Linked DNA regions of Elephas maximus indicus. The protein of the gene in region 1 interacts with the protein of each later gene in a pairwise test. Links are inferred from orthologs where the notes say so. Each region holds a gene or a part of one and is shown in the gene's direction. Other genes may lie near its edges.

Region 1 (3,747 bases):
AACTGACTAGAAGAGATCTATATTTTGCAGTTCCAAAGAACGGTGATTCAACAGAATGCAGAACTTATAGAACAATATCATTAATATCATATGCAAGTAAAATTTTGCAAAAGATTATTCAAAGATGTTGCACCAGGGAACTGCCAGAAATTCAAGCTGGATTCAGATGAGAACGTGGAATGAGGGACATTAGATGGATCTCGGCTGAAAGCACACAACACCAGAAGGATGTTTACCTGTGTTTTATTGACTAAGCAAAGGCATTCAACTGTGTAGATCATAGCAGATTATGAATAGCATTGTGAAGAATAGGAATTCTGGAACACTAAATTGTGCTCATGCAGAACCTGTACATAGACCACGAAGCAGTTGGAACAAGAGAATAATGCGTGGTTTAAAATCAGGAAAGGTGTGTGTCTGGGTTGTATCCTTTCACAATCTGTATGCTGAGCAAATAATCTAAGATGTTGGACTATATAAAGAAGAATGCAGCATCAGGATTGGAGGAAGGCTCATTAACAATCTTTGATATACAGATGACACAACCTTGCTTGCTGAAAGCGAAGAGGACTTGAAGCACTTATTGATGAAGGTCAAAGTCTACAGCCTTCAGTATGGATTACAACTCAACATAAAGAAAACAAAAATCCTCACAACTGGATCAATAAATATTATTCAGGATAAACAGGGAAAATATTGAAGTTGTCAAGGATTTCTGTTTACTTTGATTCTTTAAAGATTACAGGCTAGGAAACCCTATGCGGCAGTTCCACTTTTCCCACAGGGTCGCTATGAGTTGGAATCCACTGGATGGCACACAAGAACACTTCCATATTCAGGTGAATTGTTTTCCAGAAGACAGGCCCAACTTCTGGGTCAGTAGGAGAAAGCCAGTGATCCCTATCTGTGAACGCGCCTGAAGCCCTTAGCAGTCATCACTGACATCACCTCTTCTCTGGACCCTGATTACCCTCCGTGCCCTTCATATTACAGGTCTCTTCAAATTCCTGAGTCATGCTCTGTTTATGTTGCTGTGCTAGGAGCAAACTGTGGCATGGATCCAAACAAAACTGACGCGAGCGTGGGGAAGGAGAGTGCCTGGTGGGAGGTGCCCAGTGGGTGCAATTAAATAGGCAAAGGGCAAAATGCAAGCACAGGACATTTCTGCACTGGCCAAAAACAGACCCTAGGTCCCCCATTCCTTTTTTTCTCCAGATCCCGGATCCCAATAAGCTGGAAAAAGCTGGATTTTAGTTCTTTGTATTTATTTTTGGACTCAACCAAGAAACAGCAGGGAGGGAAGAAGACATTTTCAGAACAATTTTATTTCGTTTTAGAACGATAGTTAATGTCACATGAACATTCAAATAACACGTAAATACGTCATGGTTGCAGTGGGATCTACTTAGGAAAGGTTTAGCTAGAAAGAAGATACAATGAAACAGACAACGTACTTGTCTACCCCCATCCTGCGCTGTTCCGAACGCTGGGGGCGGGACACGGGGCGGGGTTTGTGGCGTCACAATACCAACGCGCTGCTGTGTTGTTTTTGTGTCCCCAGCTCCTGGGAAAAGCCGTCTGGATCTCTTTACCTGGCCATCTTCTACTGCCAGGCGAGGCGACCAGAGATCCCTTCCGAACGCTCTGCCAATAGTGTTGTGGCGGGAGCTGGCACTTCTGAAGCGATCCTGAAACCTATTGAAATTTGACGGAGAGGAGCAATACGCGAGAGACGCAATCATCAGCGAGGAAGGCAGGCCCCGTCTGGGGATTTTAGAAACCCTGCGGTCCATCATGAAGTTCCAGTATAAAGAGGACCATCCCTTTGAATATCGGAAAAAGGAAGGAGAAAAGATCCGGAAGAAATATCCGGACAGGGTCCCTGTAAGTGTAATGGGAACGGGTGGAGGGTAGGGGAGAAAGTGGGGGGAGGGTTGGAGAGCTGGGGGTTGGGGAGTCGCGATGGCTGCCCTAAGGAACAGAAGGGTCTCCGAAAAAGGGAGGTCTCTAAAAATTCCTTGACCCCGGATGTCCTTCGCTAGCTGCCGGAGCTAGTGGACTTTTCAGACTGCGGAGCTTTCCAAACCCGTATCCCGAGGGCCTGTTCCCATCTTCATAGCTGACCGCATCTTTAGAGCGAAGCCAATGTCTCGAGTGACTCAGCAGTTTTCAGAAGATGTGGCCTTTTTGTGCGAGAGTCATTAGTTTGGGGCTCTAGGTTTGCTTCGTTTAAGAACGCACGGAAATTACTATGGGAGCGACTGATGCCCTGGGGTTTGCGCCTGTCGATTTCTGCTATAGGTGGTTCTCCTTTCATCAATTTCACTCTGACCTGGTTATCCTTGGGCTTGGGAGGGAAAAGATGGGAAGCCAGTGGATTCATTCTCGTATTCTGTTAAGATTGGGGTAGGGGGTGGGGGGCACCACAAGACAGGTCTGGCTCAAAAACAAGGTCACGTTCTCTGCGCAGCAACCGGCTTGCTTCATCATTCTTGGCTCCAGGGGCAGTGTGTAGTGACGGCCAGCTTTCCTGGGTGCTTAATCTGATCAAATCATACCTGGGCACGAGACAGACTGAGACCTCTTTCTGTTTTAGCCCCTGATTTATGTAGTTAAAACTAGTGCAGAAGGAAAAGATGAAATAAATAGCAAGGCATCTTTCAGCATCCGGGCGTTTTTCCAGTTTGTCCCCTCCCCCGCGCACTTGCCTGGTTTCCCTCTAATGTAGGCTGCGCAGCCAGAATGAAAGACAGAAGCCTGTGGTAGAGGGAGCAGCAGTTTTGGGGTGTTAGAGATAGAAGAGCAGTGACCGTAGGGTTGTGCTCTTTATCTTCAGATATGGGCATTTGGATGATGTAACTGGTAAAGGAATTGTAAATGTAACGGGTAAAGACATTGCAATTATCTGATGTCCTTTCTTGACCTGCAGGTGTTCCTGGGCCTCCTCTAAACAGCTACCAGAGGCAACTTGGGGCTTAGCCCAGCAGTACAAAGCCCTCGTGGTCCTTTCCTATAAAGAGGAGACATCAGAGCCATCCTATTCCCCAGCAATTACACACAAAAGGGTTTTTTAGCTGGAAAGGGGAGCCAGCCTTATTACCCAGTAAAGAATTCTTCACAGTTTATTTTCGTGGTCTCTGGACCTTGGATGATTGTTTTAAAATCGTCCCCCAATTCTCGTGGCACCAATCCCAGTTTTCAGTAATAGTATTTAAAAATGAGAGCTAATATTTACCAGTAACTTACCCTGTATCTGGTGCTATTATAAGTGTCCTCTATATAGGCATCCCATTAACCCTCACGCTATTATAATCCCCAGTCTATAGATGAAGAATCTGAAGCACAGAGACATGAAGTAACGTCATATTGGTGGTCTGTGACCAAGCTGAGATTTCAGCTTCACCTCTCATGCATAGCGCTATGGGCATGCCTAACCTCCATGCCACATTGCTGCTCAATTTCTAATGTAGCTCTGTTACCAGAACTAATTAAGTGCCTCTCACTGTTAGGTATTGGAAATAGATAAACTATTGCTGCCCTCAACAGTTCACCGGAAAAGTAACTCAGTAAGCAAAATGACTACAATTTATTCAGGACTTGCAAAGTACAAGGAACTGTGCCAGTTGTTGTTAGGTGCCGTCGAGTCGATTCCCACTCATAGTGACCCCTGTGTACAACAGTAGCTTCACATAAATGACAAACTGAAATTTACCTGTTCCTAAATCTAGTTAAAATTTCCATATGTTT
Region 2 (3,747 bases), on another chromosome or scaffold:
AAACCAAACCCGGTGCCATCGAGTCAATTCCGACTCATAGTGACCCTACAGGACAGAGTAGAACTGCCCCACAAGGTTTCCAAGGAGCGCCTGGTGGATTTGAACTGCCGACCTTTTGGTTAGCAGTCATAGCTCTAAACCACTATGCCACCGGGGTTTTTATAGTATAGTTTTTATAGGCTATTATAGTAAGGGAACATATATAATAGTCAAAAGTGATAAATGAAATTGCAATTCAACAGAAAACGAAGGGCAACATTCGCACCCGCAAAGTAACAACCCCAACCTTAAAATAATACAGGTAACAATTCACAGAAATGCGATTGTGAAGAAACCAGTTCTGGAGTGAGACCAAATAGAATCACAGAACATTATTAGAACAGAAGAGCTTCTCAGAGAAACTGAGGATTTACAGTGATCGTAGTTAAAAAGGGACAAGACTGACTAGGAGTTAGGAGAGAGCGTTGGATTTTAGAAGTTGTAGCCCTATCCTTGTGGTCGCTCCCTTCGCTTCTGCTGTGTGCAGCTAGTCCATTCCAACTCATACAAAATCCAAATCCATTGCGGCGGAGTCAATTCCTACTCATAGTCAATCCTATGCGACAGAGCAGAACTGCCCATAGGGTTTATGAGGCTGTAAATCTTTACGGGAGCAGATGGCCAGGTCTTTTTTCTCCTGTGGAGCGGCTGGTGGGTTGGAACCACTGACCTTTCGGTTAGCAGTCAAGCGCTTAACCACTGCGCCACCAGGGCTCCTTCCTTTGGTTCTATTTCCTTATCTATAAGATGAGTGGATTAGTTTAGACAGATTTTTAAGATCCAGGCAGTGGCATGGTAATTGTCCATGTGCTACTTCGCTACCTTTTTTTTTTTTTTTTTAACTTTTATTGAGCTTCAAGTGAACGTTTACAAATCAAGTCAGACTGTCACATATAAGTTTATATACACCTTACTCCGTACTCCCACTTGCTCTCCCCCTAATGAGTCAGTCCTTCCAGTCTCTCCTTTCGTGACAATTCTGCCAGCTTCCAACTCTCTCTATCCTCCCATCACTTCGCTACCTTTTATCGCACTGGTTAAGTTACTTAACTTTTCCGTGTGTTTCCCCATTTTGTAGGTCAAAATAACAATTAAAAAAAAAAAAAACAAATCCAAACGAACAGGGCCTGTTTTGCTGGAACTAGGTGTCTGAGTGAAAATTGCCAGGTAGAAAGAAAGGGGAAAAAGCAGCGGGCCGGAGAAATGCGCGCAGTTACCTGGGCCGCAGGCTTTGAATCGCCTACTTTGGGGCAGGTGGGGAGTCGCGGAGCCCCAAGCGGCGGCGGCGGCGGAAGGGACAGCCCTATGGGCGGAAGTGACGCGACGCTGGCTCCCGGCCCTGAGGGGAGGTCTCGGAAGGAGTTCGGCAGTTGATGGCGTCTCGGGATCGGAAGCCTTTCTGACGCTCCCCCGTTGGCCGGGAGCCCCTCACTGGGTAAGGCGCCTTCCCAGGTCTGCTCCAGCGCCCTTGGCGGGGCGGGCCCCAGTGGGAGCTCTTCTTGGGGACCGTGATACGTCCCTCAGTCCCCGGAGTCTAGGGCCCTGGCCGGTCCGGGGAATATTCTCCGTGGTGACGATGCTGGCAAATGACTATGCTTTTCTTCCCGAGGAGAAACCATTCCTGCCGGACTGCTATTGTGACGGGAAGTGGAGCAGTTTCGGTTAGCTGTGGAGCTGGAAAAGCCATAAGTGGCCGCTCCACACGGAACAGGCCTTAGAGATTTTGCGGAGGCGTGTGGGACGTGGACCCTTGGGCGGGGGGCGAGCGACGCGTGTGACTCAGCCCGGAGGAGGAAAAAAAATCTTGTCAGAACGCTAGGGTGACTGTTGTGAGGGCAGCGTGTGCGCTCCTGGCGACGGCAAGCTGGGGAAGACATCTAGGTGGAGCCCGGAAAGGAGGCTCGGCCTCGCCTCTGCGGAGGAAAAGCGAGCTGTTTGGGTCGAGTCGCCGGGTGGGTGAGGAGGCGGAGACTCCTTGCGCCGCCCACATTTTAGGGCCGCCGGCGGAGTTAGCCGCTCAGGTACGACCTTGTTTATTTACCTGGGCTGCAGAATCAAGAAACTGATTTTTGTGAGGTGTTTAGAAATAGCCCCTCCCCTTAGTACTCACAGGGATTTTTTAATTTTTTTAATTTTCCGAGAAGAGTCACGTTTTTCTTGGCTTAGTCAAAAGTTTCTTGATTTCACCCCTCCTTCCTCCGCCTCCCCCCGCAGGTAGTGAACGTGTCCAGACAGGAGCTCTTGCAGTCTCTCTCAGGAGTTTCCCTGGCCTAGGATTAGAGCTTACAGAGCTTATCTGGGGGTGGGGTGGAGGAGGGGTGGGGGAGTGGACTGGAGGTAGGGGGGCGGTGGTGTTGGCGGCGTTTTGTGTCACTTTATTGGTAAATAAAGTATTACACCTTGCGGTTGTAAAAGAGGGCTCATTGCCTTCAAAGTGGTTTTTCGGTATAAAGAGCTGAGGCCAGACTTTATCGTTCTGTTCTTGGGGTGGATTTGATTCCTTGAAGGATTTTTTTTTTTTTACTCTAGAAATGACTTACTTTTTTTTTTTTTTGGCAATGTGATCGTCAGACTTCAAAGAACATTCTGTTGTAGTTTTAATTTTCTAGTCATCACATTCTTACACTGTTTACAACTATGGCTGCCGCAATTTGTGTAGAATTGGGGTTGCTATGAGTCGGAATTACGCGAGGCAGCGGGTTTAGGTTTTTTTGTTGTCGTTTAGAGGTCTGTAAACCAGTTGATAGTCTTTGAGCTAAAGCATGAATAATCAGAAACTTTCAAAACGTCAAAAAATTTTTTTTATCCTTCAGATGTTTGTATGCCCCATAAGGACTGAATTTGGAGGTAATTTTAAGAGTTCATAATTTTGTTGTTGTTGTTAGTTGCCATCTGGTCGATTCTGACACATGACGACCCCGTGTATGTAGAGAAATGCTCAATAGATTTTCAAGGGTGTGACTTTTTGAAGCAGATCGCCAGGCCTGTCTTCCCAGGTGCCTCTGGATGGGTTCAAACCACCAACCTTTTGGCTAGTAGTCCCATTGCTTAGCTATTTGTGCCACCCAAGGACTCCAAGGGTTCGTATTTTTTTTAATCCAAGATTTTTTAAACTTACACTAACTTTGTTGGTGGTTATCTGAATTACGACACTCAGAGCACACAAAACATTCGTGGTCTAGAATGCACTGTTTCTATGGTAGTACATCATACATGGAGTTTTTAGTACTAATCTGCTTTATTTATTTGCTTTTAGTAACGCTTGTAGAGATGGTAAAATGAAGCAATATTTTGCTAATCTTGGTTTATTATCTTTGTTCTCTTCTAACACAGTTATTTATCCCACTGTAATTTTTAAAGCAAATTTAAGACATCAGTATTTCACTTATAATTAGTTTAGCATTTCTGATACTTTAAAAAACACCACCATAATCACATTATTACCCTTAACAAAGTTACCTTATTTCCTTCTGAATTCTGTTAGAGCTGGTAGATTATTATCTAAATTAAAAAGCTTAGTTCAGTTCTGTATGTTTTCTCCACAGAAGTACTCAGTGGGTCTTTTTTCTACTTCAGTTGACTAAGGTTCATATTTTTGGATTAGTCAAGTAAAATGAATACCAGGAGCCATTGAAAGATACCGCAAAAGCCAGATTTATTTGAGGCTTGAAAAAGTTGCAAGAGGAGGGAGTAAAGATAACCTTGAAA
Region 3 (3,747 bases), on another chromosome or scaffold:
TAGGACCGTGCTGAGGTAGGACAGAAGCTGACTTCATCAAGTTTATAGGACCGGCAAAATTAATCACTGTGCCTGTCTCCTAATCAATATTTGTTTAGTACATTCCTGAATAAGGGGGAAAATTTGGCCCGATTCTTGCTTCCATTTATCCTGGTGACAAAATTGTGGAGTCCTATCTCTCTTAAACTTTTTCTGCTACTGTCACAGACTGGAAAGGACCAAAAAGTTGCACATGGCCAAACGATTTACGTCAGTTTTCAACGGTAAGGGAGCAGTAAAAAAAAGATTACTACTAAGATCATGACCATGACAAGAAACATACATAGAGTTCTTACGTGCCATGGAGCCCTGGTTGCACAGTGGTTAAGCGCTTGGCTGCTAAGCCAAAATCCGCAGTTGGAATACACCGGGCACTCCTTGGAAATGCTATGGGGCAGTTCTAATCTGTCCTTTAGGGTCGTTGTGACTCGAAATTAACTCCAGGGCAACGGATTTGGTTTTTATGTGCCATATATAGTATAGTTTTAGACCCATTACGTATTTCTCACCCAGTGAAACAGTCACTATTAATATTAGCAACAGGTACTATTAATATTCTCAATTTTACTTCTTTGCTGAATTAAGTGTAATTTTCAGACTCTCCGTCCCAAACGCTTAAGCGGGACTCAGCCAGTTTCAGCCGTCTTTCCCAGGACTTTGACCGACGCTGCGGAGCCAATCAGGGCTGCGGGACTGCACAACGCCGCCAGTTTTCAGATTGGACTCCTTTTTGCGTCTCGGCCCCTATTTGCTAGGGCGATGGTTGGCCATTTTCGATTCGGGCGGAAATAAAATTAAAGCTGAGAGGCTAAAGACCTAAAAAGCAAAATCAAAACAAAACTTATGTCTTCAACTGGAATGCTTAGGGAAGGAACACCTGCGCAGGCCAACTCGGCTGCTAGGAGCAGTGAATAAAATGGGCTCGAGGCCGGTGCCCACACTCAAGATGGCACCCTCCTGAGAATCACCTGTGTGGCCGCTCTAGCCAGAATCTGGGCTCATTTGCCTCAGTGTTGGTGTCGGAAAGGCGAAGGCTAGCACTCTGTCCCATTTCCGGCCCAACTCTATGGTGTCGGAGAGCCGAGAATCCGGAAGACTGTGTGTGTAGGAGACCTACCTCACGGGGGAGGCGAGGTGTTCGGTGTTAACTGGGGGCGAAAAGGGGACCGGAGCCGCTGCCCTCCGCCGCCCCCCGCAGGTAACGGGGCTTCCGCTGCGGCCTCCGACGGTCAGGCCTGGGCCGGGGCTGGGGGCCGGGGCGGGAGAGGAGGCGGGGGCGCGCCCGACTCGCGGGCCCCCGCCGGTTGAGCTCGGCAGTCCGTTCCCCGCACCCTCTCCTTAGTGCGGGCCCCGCCAGTTGAGCTCGGCGGTCTGTCCTCCGCACCGTCCCCTCAGTGCGGCCCCCGCCAGTTGAGCTGGGCTGCGGTCCCCGGCACTCTCCCCTCAGTGCGGCTCCGGCTTCGGTCCCCGGCACCCTCCCCTTAGTGCGGCCGCGACAGGTTGAGCTCCGGCTTCGGCCCCCGGAGGTTGAGCTCGGCCGTCGGTCCCCGGCACCCTCGCCTCAGAGTGGCTCCGGCTTATGCCCCCGGCACCCTCCCCTCGGTGCGGTCCCCGCAGGTTGAGCTCGGCGGTCGTCCCTGGCACGCTCCCCTCAGAGCGGCCCCCGCAGGTTGAGCTCTGCCGTCGGTCGCCGGCACCCTCCCCTCAGAGTGGCTCCGGCTTAGGTCCCCGGCACCCTCCCCTCAGTGTGGCTCCAGCTTCGGTCCCCGGCACCCTCCCCTCAGAGCGGCCCCGGCAGGTTGAGCTCGGCCGTCGGTCCCCGGCACCCTCCCCTCAGTGTGGCTCCAGCTTCGGTCCCCAGCACCCTCCCCTCAGAGCGGCCCCCGCAGGTTGAGCTCGGCAGTCCGTCCCCGGCACCCTCCCCTCAGTGTGGCTCCAGCTTCGGTCCCCGGCACCCTCCCCTCAGAGCGGCCCCGGCAGGTTGAGCTCGGCAGTCGGTCCCCGGCACCCTCCCCTCAGAGTGGCTCCGGCTTCGGTCCCCGGCACCCTCCCCTCAGTGTGGCTCCAGCTTCGGTCCCCGGCACCCTCCCCTCGGTGCGGCCCCCGCAGGTTGAGCTCGGCCGTCGGTCCCCGGCACCCTCCCCTCAGTGTGGCTCCCGCAGGTTGAGCTCGGCAATTGGTCCCTGGCACCCTCCCCTCAGAGTGGCTCCGGCTTCGGTCCCCGGCACCCTCCCCTCAGAGTGGCTCCGGCTTCGGTCCCCGGCACCCTCCCCTCAGAGCGGCCCCGGCAGGTTGAGCTCGGCCGTCGGTCCCCGGCACCCTCCCCTCAGTGTGGCTCCGGCTTCGGTCCCCGGCACCCTCCCCTCGGTGCGGCCCCCGCAGGTTGAGCTCGGCCGTCGGTCCCCGGCACCCTCCCCTCAGAGTGGCTCCGGCTTCGGTCCCTGGCACCCTCCCCTCAGTGTGGCTCCAGCTTATGCCCCCGGCACCCTCCCCTCGGTGCGGTCCCCGCAGGTTGAGCTCGGCCGTCCTCCCGGCACTCAGTGCGGGGCTTCTCCTCATCAGGGCTTCGTGGGCCCCCGCCGAGCGGCACTGGTGGCCGGAGCTGGCGGCGAAGCCGCGGGATCGGGCCTCGCGGGGAGGTGTGGAAGGTGAGGGGCCAGCCAAGCGAGTGCGCCCCCCACCCCCAGCGGCCTCGGGGTCGCGGCTGGACCCTCGGGCTCCGCTCCGGGCGGGCGGGCGGGCGGTCCGGGAGTTTGCTCGGTGGGCTGGACACTCCCCGGAAGGGGCATCGCCGGAGGAGCCTTGGGGGCTTGGGCCGCTTCATTCTTGGTCCAAGACCAGGGCCAGGTCCCTAGAGGCCCAGCTGGCTCTTGACTGCTTTAAGCTTTCTATTTGGAATAAAGATGAAATACATTTCTCGGAAGAGGAAATCACGTGAATACTCACAGTCCCGTCCTGAGCGATTTTGGAATCGTTATTACTGTTGCCGGTGTGCATATCCACGTAAAATCCTGTCTCTTAGCTAGCACACTTGTTTTGATCCTTAAAGGCTTCGTTATGTATTGTTTGCACCTAGCAAGGCTGCACTGAGTTAAATACAGGGAGTATGAAACGGATGAAACCAGAGGGCTCACTGGCTAACAAAGCATCACTCAGTGCAGGGTGATCTTAGAGTCTGGAATGCAAGCCAGTATTTTTGGAGTTCCCTGGCTATGCCAGCTAGGATCGAGATAATCACAGTTAACTGCTGGGAAAAGAGCAGAGATACCCAGAGGTTTCTTAGTTGAACATAGGAGTTGCACTGCGACCTAGACGTGGGCTTTCCAAATGCACAGGTGGTCTGGAAACTGTGCTGCCCAAGGAAGGATGGAGGAAACTAGGTGAACACATTTCATAGAGAAGACTGATGCATATTCAAGTCAGAGACTGCCGACTAAGCATTTTATATATCTGTTTACCTATCTCTATCTATCTGTGCATGCCCTGGCATTGGAATATATTTTTCTACTTTCCTGTGAATTTTATTCCAAAGCTACCAAGCAAGATTTTGTATTTTTTCCCTTACTCCTCCAAGCAACAAGAGAGCATTTTGCAAGTCCAAGTGCTAATTTATTAGTTTTATGTTTCAGTAATTCATTTTAGCTGAATTACCATTTTTGAAGCAGTGTTTATGTTAACAGTATTTGTGCCTCTTTAGATACAGAGTGT

The links.
Region 2: the proteins of GABARAPL1 (region 1) and TAX1BP1 interact in binary tests that used the Homo sapiens proteins (3 or more experiments, as listed by UniProt). The link is inferred for Elephas maximus indicus from reciprocal best matches to the Homo sapiens genes GABARAPL1 and TAX1BP1.
Region 3: the proteins of GABARAPL1 (region 1) and SCYL3 interact in binary tests that used the Homo sapiens proteins (3 or more experiments, as listed by UniProt). The two-hybrid records come from large-scale screens. The link is inferred for Elephas maximus indicus from reciprocal best matches to the Homo sapiens genes GABARAPL1 and SCYL3.

What each region holds. Positions count from the first base shown.
Region 1 is NC_064822.1:67,460,044-67,463,790, forward strand, and holds the start of GABARAPL1 (gamma-aminobutyric acid receptor-associated protein-like 1), read left to right. Parts: upstream 1-1,506; 5' UTR 1,507-1,794; coding exon 1,795-1,884; intron 1,885-3,747. UniProt on the Homo sapiens protein: Ubiquitin-like modifier that increases cell-surface expression of kappa-type opioid receptor through facilitating anterograde intracellular trafficking of the receptor. Involved in formation of autophagosomal vacuoles.
Region 2 is NC_064826.1:88,877,534-88,881,280, forward strand, and holds the start of TAX1BP1 (tax1-binding protein 1), read left to right. Parts: upstream 1-1,367; 5' UTR 1,368-1,474; intron 1,475-3,747.
Region 3 is NC_064821.1:214,082,453-214,086,199, forward strand, and holds the start of SCYL3 (protein-associating with the carboxyl-terminal domain of ezrin), read left to right. Parts: upstream 1-1,003; 5' UTR 1,004-1,237; intron 1,238-3,747. UniProt on the Homo sapiens protein: May play a role in regulating cell adhesion/migration complexes in migrating cells.